Linked DNA regions of Arabidopsis thaliana. The protein of the gene in region 2 interacts with the protein of the main gene of each other region in a biochemical or structural test. Each region holds a gene or a part of one and is shown on either strand. Other genes may lie near its edges.

Region 1 (6,212 bases), on a different chromosome or scaffold from region 2:
ATTAACTGTACCATTATAATTCAGTATTGCCTTCAATACACAGATACAAAAACACTCCTACATGTACACCTCTAATGAAATTTAAGGAAAAGAGGGAAAAAAACAACTTTGACTTCACTTCCTACTATGCGTTCCCACAAAAATCAAATCAATTTTACAGTTAGAGGAGTTATGACTAAGAACCAATTGTCGACTAGCAAATAATTAAACTGATACTCTGAGAAAAATTGAGCGTGCAACAAAAGAAGACACTGTAGAACTAGGAGCAGTCAACAAAGAAAGAAAGACTCAGTGACTTACGCCCCATCCGATCAGGTGCAAAATCTACCAATGAGCCAAATGGGTACCCTTCCCTGCGGTGGTGCATTTTGGACATCACTGTGCACAGATGAGCAAACCTAGCCTTGAATCATAAAAACACAAGACAAGACAGATAAAGAACTTAAATAATCTTTTCTCATTGAAGTAAAAAAGGAAGAATACAAACCATCTAAAGGACAAACCCTTTTACCTGTTCCAACAAGTTCCGTACAGCTAAAGCAGGCCGAGGTAAAGCATGAGCTGATGTAGCATTTTGAACACCACCAGATATTGGAGTTCTAAAAAGCCCAGCTCGATTTCCTCCACCACCTTGAGGATGTGCAAGAGATGCCTCCACATCGATTACACTATGAGAAGTTTCACCATTGCTATTACTCCCGAGCTTTTCCTTCACACAACATTACAAGCTATTAATCTCTATGTCAAAGCAAACCATTACGTGGTATCATCTTTCCGCTAATCTAAGATTCGATTCTACACAAACTCTGCATCAAAACCAAAGTTTTGTGTCCAAAATTGTAATCTTTTGCTGAATTTTTGCATACCCAAAACAAAAGTTATAATCTTTAGTTGAATTTATTCATCACAAGACAAGAGAAAAAGTACCTGTGATAAAGAGAAGATATCCCCAGGAAAAAAACCAAACCCATTATTATCTTCACCTTCACTTGGCGTCTCGTTACGTAAGAGAGCTTGTATACGAAGCCCGTGACTTGATCCATTACTGAGTCTCAGCTTCGGGAATTGCGTTTTGGGTAGCGAATTACAAAACCAACACGAAGACTGGGAAGAAGTGGGCAGCGGAGATTTGAGGAGAGGCTTAGTCTGTAAATTGGGTGTGTGTGTTGAAGTGAAGAGAGCTTCCATGGTGGATGAGAATAAGATTTTGGTTGAAGAGTCTTCTGATCTTTCACTATAGGCAGATGCTTCAGGCGTCTTTGTTGAAAGTAGCTTTAGGAATTAGGACTTTTCCAGAGTAGGGTTTGTATAACACACACATACATATAAGGGTTTTTCTTTTTCTTTTGGCTTTTTTTTTATAGTTGGATTACGATTACTTTTGTCCTTAGGAATTACTTTTGATGTATTTTCTATTCTCTTTTGTTTTGTTTTGATGTTGATAATAACGAATTTTCCTTGAAATAAGAAAATCAGTTTCTTTTCAATTTACAATTTTTATTGATAATAACATAATATTCTAAGAAATTATCTTTGTTTAAAAAAATTGGGAAAGAAAAGATTTCAATTTCATCTCAAAAGAACCTGATAATGACTATTGGATTACCATTATTCCGTTTCTAAAATCTTCTTACTGTTGATTAAAAAAATTAAATCTCCTCTAAAGAAATATCTATCATCTCAATTGGTTCAGACCATTTTTAGTTTACGTTGAAAAGAAAGATCAAACAGATCAATGACACAAACTATAATTAAGGCACTAAACACTAAATGTCCTAATTTGCATAATGCGGGACCCATGTCAATAATATTTCTCAAACGTTGTCGTTTTCAGCCCATCCTTCCTCCGAATCCACGCGCCACCGTCTAAGCTGCTGCGTCATTGCACGCGCCAATTTGCTTTCAACCGCTCGAATCATCCCAGCTGAAACTCCAGTCACATCTTCTACTTTCTTTAAATTCTGCCACGTCGTCGTGTTCTTAACGCCGAACCAAAACGCCGCCGCTAAGAACACTCTCTTCGTCGCTCTTGGCCTCGTCTCCACAGCCAAAGCCAAAGACGCATATGAAACGACAGCGTTTGTTAAATCCCTGTTTAGTCCTAACTTACCACACCAATTTACAAAAATGCCATCCGCCACCGTAACCGCAACGGCCTTGGCATTCACTCTGTTTTCCCTCCCTCGCGCTCTGTTTACGTCACGCGTCGTTGACGATAGCTCGGAGCTTGAGACACAGTCAAGAGACGAGCAGCAAGAAGAAGACGACGATTCTGAACAACATGTTGTTCGTGGAGGCCAAGGAAGAAGAGGACCAGAAACGAAATTTTGAGTAAGAGATTTGCAATTTGGGCAGATGACACGCCGGAAATGACGAGCGAAGAGAAAATTTGAGGCATGGAACTTAGCGTCACAAGAACGGCAGAGGAAGGCAGAGTCCGCGGCACAATGGAGATCAGCTTCGGCACCACAAAGCTCGCAAAAGCTCACCATTGAGTCGATCTCTCTGATCACCAGAAAGAAGTGAGAGAGAATTGGTTTGGAATGATGATGGTGGGAAGAGAGATTTAAGGAAGAGATGTAAATGATTGAGGGAGAGAAAGAGCGGTGGAGTTTTTATGGTTCATGGTTGATGAGAGTAGTCTCTTCCACAGTTCACACATCAAAGAAACTTACATGAGCCATAATTTTTTAGGGAAATGAAATGAATGGTGTTTGTAGAATTGGAGAGAATGACGTGTCGTGAGGTTTTGAGGCTGGTGAGATTATGTGGTCATTTTTAAAACTATTACACTAGCCGCCAAGTCATTCGTCTTCCTTTTGGTGTGACGTGGAGATTTAGTCAACACTAATGTCTTTTCAGAGACTTGGTCTCATTGCAAATTGCTTCTTCTTCTTTTCTTGGTTGCTTCCATTACATTTCTTCTGCATTGTTGCAGTCTTTTATATAAACTTTTATACATTGATCTTTTGTCGAATACAAAACAGAAGATAATACTCTTAATTTATAATCTAAGGAGTAAGGATACAAAACACAAGGTGTAAACTGTGGTGAACCTGTTTGGGTTCTGATCCCAACTAGTACAACAATAGTCTATATCTTGAAATCTTTCCAAAAATGGTTTCTTAAATAAAAGGGTCTTTGAATAGCCAAGCTAAATCCAATTGCTCTGTTAAGATATATCCATAGAGCCCCTCCTACGAATCACACTGTGACCTCTCCAGGGAGTTTTACTTCTTTGTTATCCGACCATAATGCCTCTGGCGTATTCTAAATGCCGGTTTTCGTAGCAGTACTTTGTTGGATTGTTTGAGATTTACCTGATCGTTTCGAGACTTAATCTTAAGTGGATGAGCTTCGGTGTTGAATACCCACTCGTCTAAAGGAATGACTGTTGTCGGCGAGAAGAGTAGATAGAGATACTTGAGTGTCTCTGCAAGGAAGAAACTTTGCATCTTGTTGTCCTTAACGCCTGTATTAACCTGGAAATGATTGAAAGAAATAAGAATCTACCATCAGTTACACTCAATTACTAATATAGATGGTGGAATGATATAATTCAATTCACCAAGGTTTTAACAATGCAGGATCTAATTAAGCGCCTACGGAAAACTTACATCCTTCAAACCAACATATCCAGACTCTATGCGCGAGTTCTTCTCAAATGCTTCAAATATATTCCATCCCCACTCTTGATATGTCTTGTTTCCAGTTAACCGCCAGAGGTAAAACAGTGATTCGACAGTTTCTGGTCTCAAGATGTTCCACGACGTTCCAACACTCATGTCCTGAATCATCATGTATACTAAACAATAAATAACGCATAAAATAAACAATGTGTTTGAAAAAGACAGGCAAATGACATACACTCCCAGAGTTGAAGAAATAATTCTCCCCAGCCAGTTTTGTTGGAGTTGATTGGTAAAAGTTATAACATGTCCACGCAAGCTGCAAAATATGTGGAAAATAGCAATAAAGGCTATATCTCAGCAGCCTAAATCAGAAAAGCAGAGAGCGAAAAATTCGAAAGATCTGAAGCACTTACGACGCTATGATCAAAGATCATTCAAGTCATAAGTTTACCTCTTCAGCGAGTGTGAGAAACTTCTTTCCTTCAGCAGGATCACTATACCCAGATGCTCCTAAAGCCAACATTCCAGGAGCAAAGCATGCCAATTCATCCATCTTAATATATATGAGAAATAATGAGATTGGAAATGCCAGGCGATGAAGAATTTTCACGTAATACAATGGAAACAATGAACAGATGGGTTTACCTTATCGATCAAAGAATTTCCACTCTTCTCACAGATATATGTAAACGACAAAGGTGTTGATTTCTTAACCAAGCTTAGCAGACCATTCATTGACTTCTCCCACATATCTCTGATGCCAAGATGTCAAGTAATAACAGTACAAATTATTATTGTTCGGCTAAAGATGTTGAAACTAAAAGACCAGAAAAGAAAAGAAGAACATAGATATCAAGCAGAAAGATAAATGTGATGGCAGCTGGTTGAACTTAGCGGACTTGAATCAATCAGACATATATACACTCAGTAGACTAGAGTTAAACTTACCTATAGTGTTTCACTGCTGAAGTTTTGTTCCCAAACACCCAAACTTTGAGCAAATATTCGTAAAAGCTGTACACAAAATATTAGCCGTCACAAATCAAACCAAAGCAGAACCAGAAGGGATCAGACTAGCAGTAATATAAAATGCAATCAAGTTGGAAAAACACCTGTCTCCCATGGCACCAAATGTTATTGTAGACTGCGATGGATTAGCTGTATCGGGATTTATATATATCGGAAGTAAACCATCAGCAGGGAAGTTCTTATTTAGCACTGAAATAACCTTTTCTACCTGAGACACGAGTTAACAGGTCAACCATTGAGGTGCAATTTGTTTACACCGAATTATGACAACATGCATCCAGACATTTTGCCAACTTTAATACCTAATCAGTATATAATACAACAGAATAAGCTAAGAAATATGTATTCCATTCACTGGTTTATAGATATAACAAATTCGCTGATAAGCAGATGGATATGTAATAAGTCAGCAGTGCTACAAGTTACGGAGAGTAATTGCACCTTTTGCTGATATTTTGGGTCCCCTGTCCTCTGGGAAAGGGCAATAAATTCAAGCTGCTCAGTACCAGAATCTGCAAGAATACTGTCTCCCTAAAACAAGAAAGAAGTAAACAATCAACTAAACCGAAAGACATATGTAAATAGATCAGATGGTACCCATTCCACATTAAACATGAGCTTGCTAGTGAAACAATACCTAGTTGATAAAGAATCTTTACTTTCATCATGATCTTTACAACTAAACTCTAAAACAGTGTAGACACAAACAGAATACTAATTGTCACATAACTTGAAAAACAGAACAGTTCGTTCCTGGCGAGCCCTGAAACATCTAAGAAAACGACTGGAACTTAAATCTCAATTTTTCAGTGGCCTCTTAGGAGCTCCTTTAGAAACATGTTCAGGACCCTAGTGGCGACTATCTCGATAAAGTTTTGCACGCATATGAAAATCTGGGCGAGAAAAGAAGAGAAAATGTATATCCAATGCCTAAAGCTTTGAAAAGATCGACAAGGAATATGACAGATAGGACTTACCCCCGCCCATGTAGGATTGTGAGCATTTCCATGCTTCAAGTTGATAATATTATATGGTATACCCGATTGAGTGTCCCATGCAGGCAATAATCTGTCTGCAATATCCATAGCCTTTTCAAGGAAAATTTTATCCCCAGAAAGATCATACGCACTGAGAAGCCCTCCTACCACTCTGAAAGCCAACAAAGAGAAAATATATAAGCACAGATGCCACACTTCCATACCACATATTTTGTTAACTACACACAACAGATAACCTAAACAAGATGACTCTTCTTAGTACATGTAGAAAAAAAACATGGTAAACCTGTTAAATGCAACCTTATGGTTGTCTCAAACATACTGGCAGCATAATCCTTGTCGAAATCTAATGAGCTTGCTACCCACCTGAAAATGAAAGACAATAAGTAAATGAAGGCTGGGAAAGATGAACAGGAAAAGTTGGGAATCGAACTTCAGTTAATGGAGAAGAAAACAATATTATTTATAGGAGGTTGCAGTTTTAGCCAGAAATATTTAATGTTTTCTATATAATCTTGAAACAGTTTAAAAGTGAACATTGCACAACAGATAC
Region 2 (10,130 bases):
ACCGCAATAGAAGAAAAACAGTCCTTCTCATGTACGATTAATACAATATTTAACCCATCGATTTAATTTTACCAGTTAATATATGACTAATCTGAAAATAAAAAGGGATTCAACCATCATTCCAGTTTCCAAGTAGTCATGTTATAAATCCCATGTCGAATGAGATATGACTTTATTATATCTCATAAAAAAAAAAAAAAGAGGAATAACTTATACTTCGATCACTTCTTTTTTTGTGTGGTACACAATCACTTCATTCAAAACAAGTGTTAGGGAACAATCAATATTTTCCAATGTGACAATGGTGAATACAAGCGAGCTTCGTTTTTCATATCTTTACACGTCCCAACAAAATGGATTATATATAATATGAACGTACCGAAATTTTTTCTTCAAACTCCTATACAACATTGTTTACTCTCTCCTCTTTCAAGCTGAACTACCTAACTCCTATTGGGTTGAAGCACTTCCTATGAATGTCCACTTATTCCTTTCCTCTTCCTCAACTGGCAATGAAATATATTTTCTCTCGTCTCCCCATCTCATATAATCGTCCTAGGATTTTATTACTCTCTAGTTTTCCGATCCACTAAATGTGTTTATCCTACAAACCACAGTGGTTATGTTTGCTTATATTAAGAATCTGCCACATTTTCTTTTCCCGTTAGGTCACATTTGATGACCGTTCTCCTAACCCTCGGTTATGAACCATCTTCTCACTCTTACTTAACCCAAATATTACCCTTTTTTTGTTCTCCCCGATCCGCCAACTTTTCAATCTTTGAGCCTTGTATCTGCTCACATTCCCATCGATCATTCCTTGTTCTCCTATAATCTTAATTCAAAATGATCCTCTACTCCACCCTCACCTAGTCAGCCAAATGAAAACTCGGAGTTGCATGGAATCAACAACATACCCAACTTAATTTCAATGTATTCTTAAGTAAATTAAGAAGTTGAAAAGTAACCTTAAGCGTTTCTGTAGCACTCTAAGCTTTTTAATTGATGTAAAAGTTGTTTTGCAGATTTTTCTTCAGACTAGAGATTTAATTTACGGAATCTTCAGTTAGAGTCTTTTTTGGATTAAAAATGTGTTAAGACTTAAGAGGGTTTCTCTTAGGTTTGGAGAAGTTGGCTGGCCTGACAGAGACATTTAAACACAACAGTATAAATAAAGACTAAATATATATATAACGCCAGCTGAAAGGTATCTAGTATTTCCCAAAAAAACAAACAAAAAACAACAAGGCCTATCAGGGGTACTACAGTCATTTAAATATATACACAAGCTGAATGGTTCCCAAGTATGCTTGAACAAACCATAAGCAAAGATATGTTTTTAAGACCAGAGACCAAGAACATGAGGAAGATTTGCATTTTAATGTTTCCTGTCTGACTTATTCTTGTTTTCAATAGGAATGATCTCTCTTTCTCTTTCTCTGTCTCTGTCTCTCTCCCTCTCTTTGTATCCCTCTCCATCTGTTAATCCCTCTGCCTCAGTATCTGTTTCACAATGAACTAAAGAGAAAATTGTTTTGTTAGAGCTGGAGACAAAGATTTGATGAAGAGACTGATAAAACTCTGTTCTAAACCCTAGGCTTTAACATAAAACCTAACCTTTTGCAGTTCTAACTAATGTAAATGCAAAAAGAAACACTTAGTAAGGTGCAGATTTCTTTAAGTCATTGATTTCAGACGAACCAAGTAAATCCCAAAACTAAAGAATTAGAAACAGATAGTCCTAGCAACTTACCTGCACAAATCCCTCCCACACACATTGTATATCTTTAGGCATTTTGTGTAGGTGGACAAACCGGCTTCTTGGTCTGCTTCATTGCGTCCTGCTTACACACGGCTGGCTTTTTCTTGAAGGTTGTGCGTTTACGGACTTTCAGATGTTCACCCGTTAACATGTAAACATTCCCAGGTTCAGGAATGGTGAAATCAGCAGGGTTTCTATTGACGCTGCACACAATGGGTCCAGAACTGTTCTTCACAGGTCCCGCAGAGGCATTGTTATTGCAGCTCTCTGCTTTTCTCTTTTGTTTCTTTTCTTTATCCGTCATGTGAAATTTCAAAGGAAGCATCATGGAATTCGATGCTCCCAGCAGCTGGAACTTCGCTTGGTCGTTGCTGCTTGCAAACACCGGCTTTTCATGAGTATTGTAAACAGGAGCAAAGGTGTCTTTTCTCTTGGTTTTCTTCTCTTGATGATGAGGACTCCATGAAGCATTTTGAAATGAAAGTGAAGACGTCCCAATAGGTGGAGTGATGGGGAAACTCTTCCGGGAAGGCTCTTGTGTGAATCTCTTGCTGTATAGATCAAAAGGTATCTGCTTAGTTGAGTAGGCTGACTTACTAGAGTCCCCTGTTTGAAGCTCTATAAACTCTTTGGACTGGTTGGCTGGCGGAAAATGTCTTTTAGTAAATTTAGTGTTTCCGTGTTGGTCAGCGGGAGTCGTTGACCTCAGGCGAGGATCCAGAAGGCTGAGTAGATGCAATGCCGGTATAGAGCTCTCACTAGAAAAGTTATCTATTGGCCTACTACTACTACTACTAACCCCAGCAGCATGTTTGCAGCCAAATGAAAATTCTGGATTAGGCCCACATTTTTGCTTCCCGTTGGCAGCAACAAAGTTGAGGTTCCATGTATTTTCATTGTTAGATGCCTGTGAAAGCGTACCCGGATTTGTTGACTGATTAATATTTAAAGAAACTGGCTTGTATTGACTCTGTGGTGGTATCATGGAAGATGGCCAAATTGGATGAGAAGCTTCTCTGTATTGATTAGGAACACTCTGGCAAGTATCACAAGCACGTAATACCCGAAATGAGGATGGAGAAGGGTTCTGATTACCCACAGTTGGCAAATTCCCAAGCCACTGACAGTTGTGACCAGAAAACCGGATGGAGCTGGCTCGGTTTTCTTGGGTAGGAGGAAAGATCCCAAACGGAGAAGGCACATAAGGCTGACTTATTGGGAAGAAGTCATGAGAGTTCTGCTGTCTTCCCATAGGAAAATGTTCTTCCCTCCTTGCGTTGCTACTACACGGTTTTGGTGGTCTTGATGTGTTGTTGTCCTCAAGTGAGATCCCGTTATCGTAGGTTTCATTGAGATCAATCAGTAGAGCATTCTTGGATTTGTGTGCTGTTTCTTGTGATGGCTGTTTGTTGCTAACATCTTCTTCTTTGTCGGGAAGACACCTCTCGTACTGGTTTTTGGCCATGAGCTCCACTATCTCCATTGGAATATCATCGTTGTTTTGCTCTTCAGTCGTAGTCTCCTTTCTATCGTGACTTTGGCTTCTTGGTGCTCCATGATGTTCTTGGACCATAACAGTCTTCCCCTTTCTATCTGCACCAGAAGCATCCTGCCAAGTAAATCAATCCCGTTATCATCCTGATCCAATCACTGAAGCACACCAGTTTGGAATATACAAGAATAGGTGCAAGTTGGAAAACAGAATGAGAAAGCATGGCGATTGAAGAAAAATAGATGCAAAGCTTGTACCTTTTGCAGCACCCGAGATAAATCCGCAACTTCAGTAGAAGAAGGGGGGTATCTTAGCTTCAAGTTCGAGAAAGACGATCTGTTTGTATTGTGGTTGTTGTTTCTGAAGTCAACAATATCTACTCCAGTTCTCAACCATCCACCTGAGCTGGATTTAGAAGAGGAACTAAAATCTCGAAGACAGTTTGGTTCCGCGTCTCTTGACCTCACATAATCATTGTCTTGCAAATGCAAAGATGTTATCGGCTTATCATTAACCTGAGAGAGATATTTTCTGAAATATCCATCTGAAGCCAAACGGTTGTCAAATAAACCGCCCACCCTTTTCCCATTCAATAAGTCTCGAGTTTGGGATACTGTGTTCATGGAAGGACCAGTATGCGAGTTAACTTGACTTCCATCAATGCCGTTACTAAAACTGATCACAGTGCTCTTCCCATTATCGATTACAGGCTTCTTTGTCTTCTTCTTGGGTAAACTGAGCTTCCTCTCTGTTCTCTGAGTACCCGGAGGACAAGGAACAGAATCGTTTCCAGTGAATAAAGAGTGCGCAGGAGTTGATCTCTTACTAGGATCTGCATCATGCTCCTTGATACCTTCTTGTGAAGTTTCACAAGGAAGTGATGGTACAAACTCGTCAACAACCTGAAATCTTCTGTTTCTCTGCTTACCCTTAAATGGAGTTCTGTCAAACCCACTATCAGTTGATTCACTATTACCTTGATCAGAGTCACAACTTTTGGAAGCATTTTCAGAGGTTGCACCCATTGTACTCAATATCCGGCTGACATAATTGTTTTCAGGTAACAACTTTCTTTTTCGACCTCTAACTGATTCCTTCTTCAAAGCAGACTCTTCTTTTCTGATGTTACTACCACCACTGGTTTTTGTATTACCAAGCAACTCACTGAGTAGACGAACCTTGCGAGATTTCCTACGCTGCAACCCACTCATAGCAAGATTTATACTTTCTGATGACCCGTTATCGCATTCCATCAGACCGCGAATGCCTTTATGATTCTTGGTTGCCTTAGGTGGTGTATCCTCAACCACACCAGCAATTTCAGATGAGCCGAACGTTGTCACAGCCTGATCCACATTTTGTTTCTCTTTCCAGCTGCTAATATCCATCGATGGTTTGTTTAGTTTTTCTTTAGATCTGTTGTTTCCTACCTGCTCCGGACTCACAAGCTTTCTGCTCTTGCTCCTAACATTAGAAGCACCCATAGGTCGACCACGTGCTTTCTTGAGAAACGTAGTAGCTGCAGTTGTTGAAGCTTTAAGAAATTAGTATTCCGCATCATGAGATCATCAGAGAAAACATAATTTGCTTGACCAGAGAAAACTTTACCTGTCTGATCATCATTCTCACAGTTTACACCCACTTTCTCCTCAATAGCATTATCTGAAAAACATGATAATACAAAATGATTAAGATTTTGCTATGGATTATGAAACTGAACCAAGACTCAGCAGATGCATACCTGCAATATCAGTTTTCTTTTCTTTCTCGTGATCAATGATAGTTAGCGAATTGAACTTGCTTTTACTTTCGATAACAGAAGAGTTTCCAATAGCTTTTGAGTTTGAATGCAGTCCACAATCTGCAAGCAACTCAAAATGCATAAGTTCAAGTAGACACGTCTTTAGACACATAAAAAACAATATTGGAAATGTGATATACCTTTTGGCCCATGAGCATCTATATCTTTGATGCAGCTCATACAATGCCACCATCTAAACTTTGGAACAGATAAAGTAGGAAGAGTATAGCTTTGTTGGTCTACTAAACTAACACTCTCTTCTGAAAACGGCCAACATTTTCTAAGGTCTCTCTCACGAGTTTCAGCTACGAATCCACTGCAGAGAAGAAAAACTGGTTATTCATGTCATTTCATCTTGTAGCTTGCTACTATATAAACATACTCTAGCAAGAGAGGTTGATGATATAAGGTCAACAAACTATACTCACCGCATGGAAAAATGATCACATTTCACCATATCAATCTCGTTGGCAGCACCTGCGAGATCTATGGATATTGAGTTGATCTTGATGGAAGATCCCATTGATTTGCTTGAAGGAGATAGATACTATGCCTCAGTGATGATTAACTTTCATACACCATTATACTCTCTCCGCAACTAGAGCTACAAAAGCAACACATCAAAACAAGTTATATAACACATCGTATAATTGTGCTTAATGATCACATTATTGTTGTATATCAAGACATAAATCTTAACTTTCCATATATACGACACCAAATATAACTCTAAATTTATTCAAGCAATAAATATAACTAATCTATAACATAGTGTTAAAGCATTTCACATGAATATCCCACATAAAATAACATTCATAACCAACATCAAACTTCACAATTACACGGCAAATAAAAAAAAATTAAACCCTAAGGTCTACATAAAATCAAGAATGAAATTCTATACTAGCATCTCAATTCAATTACGCTAATATAACAAAAAATTAATCGTGCAAGTGAATTTTATACATTTAACAATTAACATGTAAGTAAACCTAAACTTAGACGACCTAAAATTAGGGTTTTTCAGACAGACGAGAAACCCCAAAGCTGTAACCTTATCTACATGACCAGCAAAAGAAAAAAGAAGATCGGACCAGATTCAATATAATTTCGGAATTACAAAACCCAAGAAAGGTCAAATTATTAATCAGCGTAATTTAGGGTTTAAAATCAAAATTAGAACAAAATTAAAAGATAATAAACCACTTAAATTAACCGTATGTGATTAACAAAGATTAACCAAGACCCACCAATTAATACGGGTCAGATCTATCCGCACGTGAATAGTCCGTGAAGACGAAACCCCAAAAAAAAAAAAAAAAAAAAAAAGTAAGAACATCAAGAGTTTCCGAGGAAGATAGACGTATAAATGAACAGTGAAGCTTAAAAGACACGAAGTCAGCTACAAGTCAGACCAAATCTCAACCCAACAAGATCAAACCTTAGCTCAAACCTTAAATCGAAACACATCTGAGATTCATGTCGGAAACAACGCACCTGGGTTAATCCGACCAGAAATTAGGGATTAAAAGGGGTTGCGAGATTCGAGCTCGATCTTAAGCGGCAAGGGATAAAAACTATATCGGTAGATTGAGAAAGCTACGGAGAAGAAGATTAGATGAGCTTGAAGGATGGATTCGTCGGGAGATGAGTAGAATTTGACTGCGAATTTTCGAGAAACCCTAAGACGAAAGGGGAGGGAGAGAGAAAGGGGGACTTTTTTTTTTTTCCTATGGCTTGTAGAGAGAGACTGTTGGAGAAAGGAGAGGAGAGAGAAAGTGGAGCTCTCTTATCCTTGAAATGAGGGTTTTTTTTTTGTTTGGCTTTGCGTCGATATAAGGGTTTTAATTTCAATAAAATAATCTTTTTATTAATTTATTGTAATAATTTTATATTAAAAAAAGAACAACTCATCTATGGAACATGACAATGCCATGTCACCATCTGGTCTGCCTATTTCCAATTACACGAAACAAAGTTACGTATCTTTTTACTTCTATTGTGTACACGTATCTGTATTTGTACATCTCTGTATCTGTTCTTTGTATCTCTGTATCTGTCAAAAGTGAATAAAAGGAGAAAATTTTATGCATATGTTTAGTTAAGAAAGAAATCTGAGCATTAGTAGAAAATAGCTGGCTTAGGGGAACAGTATCCAGAAATTAAACAACAAGATTAAGTAAAAGATCTCAGTGTTTTTCTTTATATTAGGAAAGAACCCGATTTTTATTTAAATCGTATTAGACGTTTTTGTGTGTGATAGGATGGGGCACAAGAAACCAATGAGAATTAACCACGTGGCCGCAATGTGCGGTTCTTATCACAACCCATTTTTCACTTGTGTCCTGATGAAAAGAAAACCCTAGGCGCGTGGATGTCACGGCGTTTACTTTTCGCGTGTGGGCACGTTTCGTCCGTGGCGCGGAGAGGTAAGGAGCGTCGGCACATACGAAGGGGAGACATTGGAGCGTGTTGTTCACGCGAAGGGAAGAGAGAGTGGAGGAATTGAGGGACCAGTGAGATAAATAAAAGCCCTAAAAGCATGATAAAATTGTATGGGTAGGTGATGTTACCCTAGATGAGCCCATTTCCCCAATAAATGAATTATATATACATATATTAACCCTAACACTCTTTTTTCCCTTTCCAAAGTTTACCACAGTAAAAGTGTTAAAAAAAGTCTGGTTCACATAACCCTATTTAGTTTTTTTCTTAAAATATAATACAATAATCCTTAATTATTGTTATTGTACATGTACTATATAGATGTATTTTTTAATATTGGCTTCTGTTTTTTCGGTGGTAGAATCATCACATGGTACACCAACCTAATGGGATACCTATGATGTAAGCAAAGTTTAACAACAAAAAAAAACTTTGTTTTTCTTTAGACCTTTTGCATATTCGATATTTGATAAAGCAATTAATTGGATGTTGACTCTACTTTCGGAATTAACAATAATACGATTAGATAACTAATACAAATCTAGATTCGGGATTTAACTGTTCGACAGCGATTGTGTGTGTGTTTTTTTTCTTTACGTGGCTCTGTACGTACGTGTTGATACATATTAGAAGTAAGTATCGTTAAGTTGTGTTAACTATTATACAAATGTATAAGAATACTAAACCTTAGTGAAAATAAATTACTAGATCAAGTAAATTTTATATATTGCCTCGAAGAAAATAATAGTATACAGTTAGATAAGTGAATGACCTTTAGTGGGCTTTATCCTTTATAACACATTTCTCTCTCCTTGTTCCTGTATTTTTTAATAATATTCTTTCTTCGGTAAATTGTTTTTTTTTTTCTTAGTTTTTGTCGGCTTCGAGGTTTTATGATATAATTCTTTCCAGAGAAATTTAGGTTTGTTACTTTAGTCTATTTTAGGGGAAAAATATAATCTCCTTTTTTCTTCCCACTGCCATATATGTGATTTACTTTTGCCCCATAAGATCATTTTTTCTTGTTTGGCGCAATTAATTACGGGTTTGACAAATTGTGATGTATATACCAAAACGTGTTAATGATCCACTTTGAATTTTGGATGCATTATTTACTTTTATCACGAAAATAGCACACTATATACACCCCTCTAAAATTTCTAGATAATATTCATAATTTAATACCCAACTTTATGGAAAAGGAATTGAGCACATATTCGTAATGATCTTATCTTTTTGTATAAGATATATTAAGGGCGGAACGGAACCTATCTTCAACCAACCTAACATTTTTTCTCGACCGTATAAATCAAGATTCACATAGTTTTGAATATTATCTTCAAACGTATTTGTAACTCAAAAAAAGGAGATTATATTTATATATATATATATAAATTAATTGATACACTTTTAGGTCTGCATACGTGCACAACTGCACATAAGTAAGGTATATTACACAAGTTGATTAACACATTAGTATATAAATATATGTATGCAAAATATAGAGAGAGAAAGAGTGAAGCGGTAGCAAAGGGGAAATAAAAAAAGAGGACTTAAGATGAAAAAGGACAGCTTTAAGGAGATGCTTTGGCCACCAGCGATACCATCATTTAAGCTTTGCATGTGCCTCTCTGTTAGCATCTCGACAACCACATCAACCTTCTCTCTCTCTCCCCTTTTTAACTCTTGGATTTTTACTTCTTACACACACCCCAACATCATCATATCTATTTATTCATGTATTTATATGCTTATATACTCACTTTCATGCATCGATGTGTATCATTCATTATATTATGTTACAAATTCCTTTGAGTTCGTTTGATCTCCGTTATAAAAATACTTAATTTTCAACTCATAACTTCAGTTGGGAACCACAATCGTTTGGCTTTAATTGTTGATACGTCCATTAGATGATAACTTATCTCACTTGGTTAACCATTTTTTATTTGTTAAATTAACCTAAGTTCTCTATTAGATGTATCTATTATCAGCGATTATTTAATAACCCGATGAACCTAATGTTGGAACCTTGGAAGTCTTTTTATTCATCGACAACAAAATATTAGATTTTACCCAAAAAAAAAAAATGTTAGATACATTCTGTGAAGAAAGCTCACTTGATGTTTATTTTGGAAAATTAATTAGTTCTGAATCAATACTAATGACCTATATATGTTTTCACATATACATCAACGATTGATTCTAAAGCTAAAACAACAGTATATCGAATATCTGAAGTTTCGTAATTATAAAGAAGTGTTAGATGATAAGAGTTTCTTCAGCTTAAGGGTGAACACCAGATACGAAGAGATCACTTTAGAGGCAGACTTGAAAATAAAAATGCTCATTAATCAAGTAAGAGTGGTAATATTGCCTGTTGATTTGCTTCGTGGGCCATATAAAGACTATTCAGATATTGGAAAAACACGTATTTAATTATACACGCATTCTCTGTGGGCCATTGAAATTCCTTATAAGCATTCGAGCTAGATAGAAAATATAATGGGTGTGATACGTTTAGACACCCAGGTTGCGTACGGTTCACTATGTTGAAATGTGTTAGCTGCTAGACGAAACACTTATCAACGATATGTTTGGTTCTCGAGATGGTCCACACATTAATCTGT

What was found. The genes of interacting proteins can lie anywhere in the genome.
Region 1: the proteins of EMF1 (region 2) and BBX32 form a complex in vitro, tested with the Arabidopsis thaliana proteins (one study listed by BioGRID).

What each region holds. Positions count from the first base shown.
Region 1 is NC_003074.8:7,410,899-7,417,110, forward strand, and holds BBX32 (B-box 32), read right to left. Parts: upstream 2,830-6,212; 5' UTR 2,493-2,829; coding exon 1,815-2,492; 3' UTR 1,547-1,814; downstream 1-1,546. Other genes in the region: AT3G21140 (Pyridoxamine 5'-phosphate oxidase family protein), read right to left, coding at 301-403, 512-709, 928-1,188; MNS2 (alpha-mannosidase 2), read right to left, coding at 3,231-3,482, 3,618-3,788, 3,868-3,948, 4,084-4,185, 4,278-4,386, 4,581-4,646, 4,745-4,869, 5,103-5,192 and 2 more.
Region 2 is NC_003076.8:3,692,588-3,702,717, reverse strand, and holds EMF1 (embryonic flower 1 (EMF1)), read right to left. Parts: upstream 6,927-10,130; 5' UTR 6,553-6,926; exon of another isoform or gene 6,306-6,552; intron 5,660-6,305; 5' UTR 5,579-5,659; coding exon 5,484-5,578; intron 5,372-5,483; coding exon 5,196-5,371; intron 5,116-5,195; coding exon 4,996-5,115; intron 4,917-4,995; coding exon 4,863-4,916; intron 4,774-4,862; coding exon 3,512-4,773; intron 3,372-3,511; coding exon 1,788-3,371; 3' UTR 1,754-1,787; exon of another isoform or gene 1,519-1,753; 3' UTR 1,169-1,518; downstream 1-1,168. UniProt on the Arabidopsis thaliana protein: Transcription repressor that regulates phase transition during shoot, flower and seeds development. Controls leaves development, shoot architecture and flowering by delaying both the vegetative to reproductive transition and flower initiation.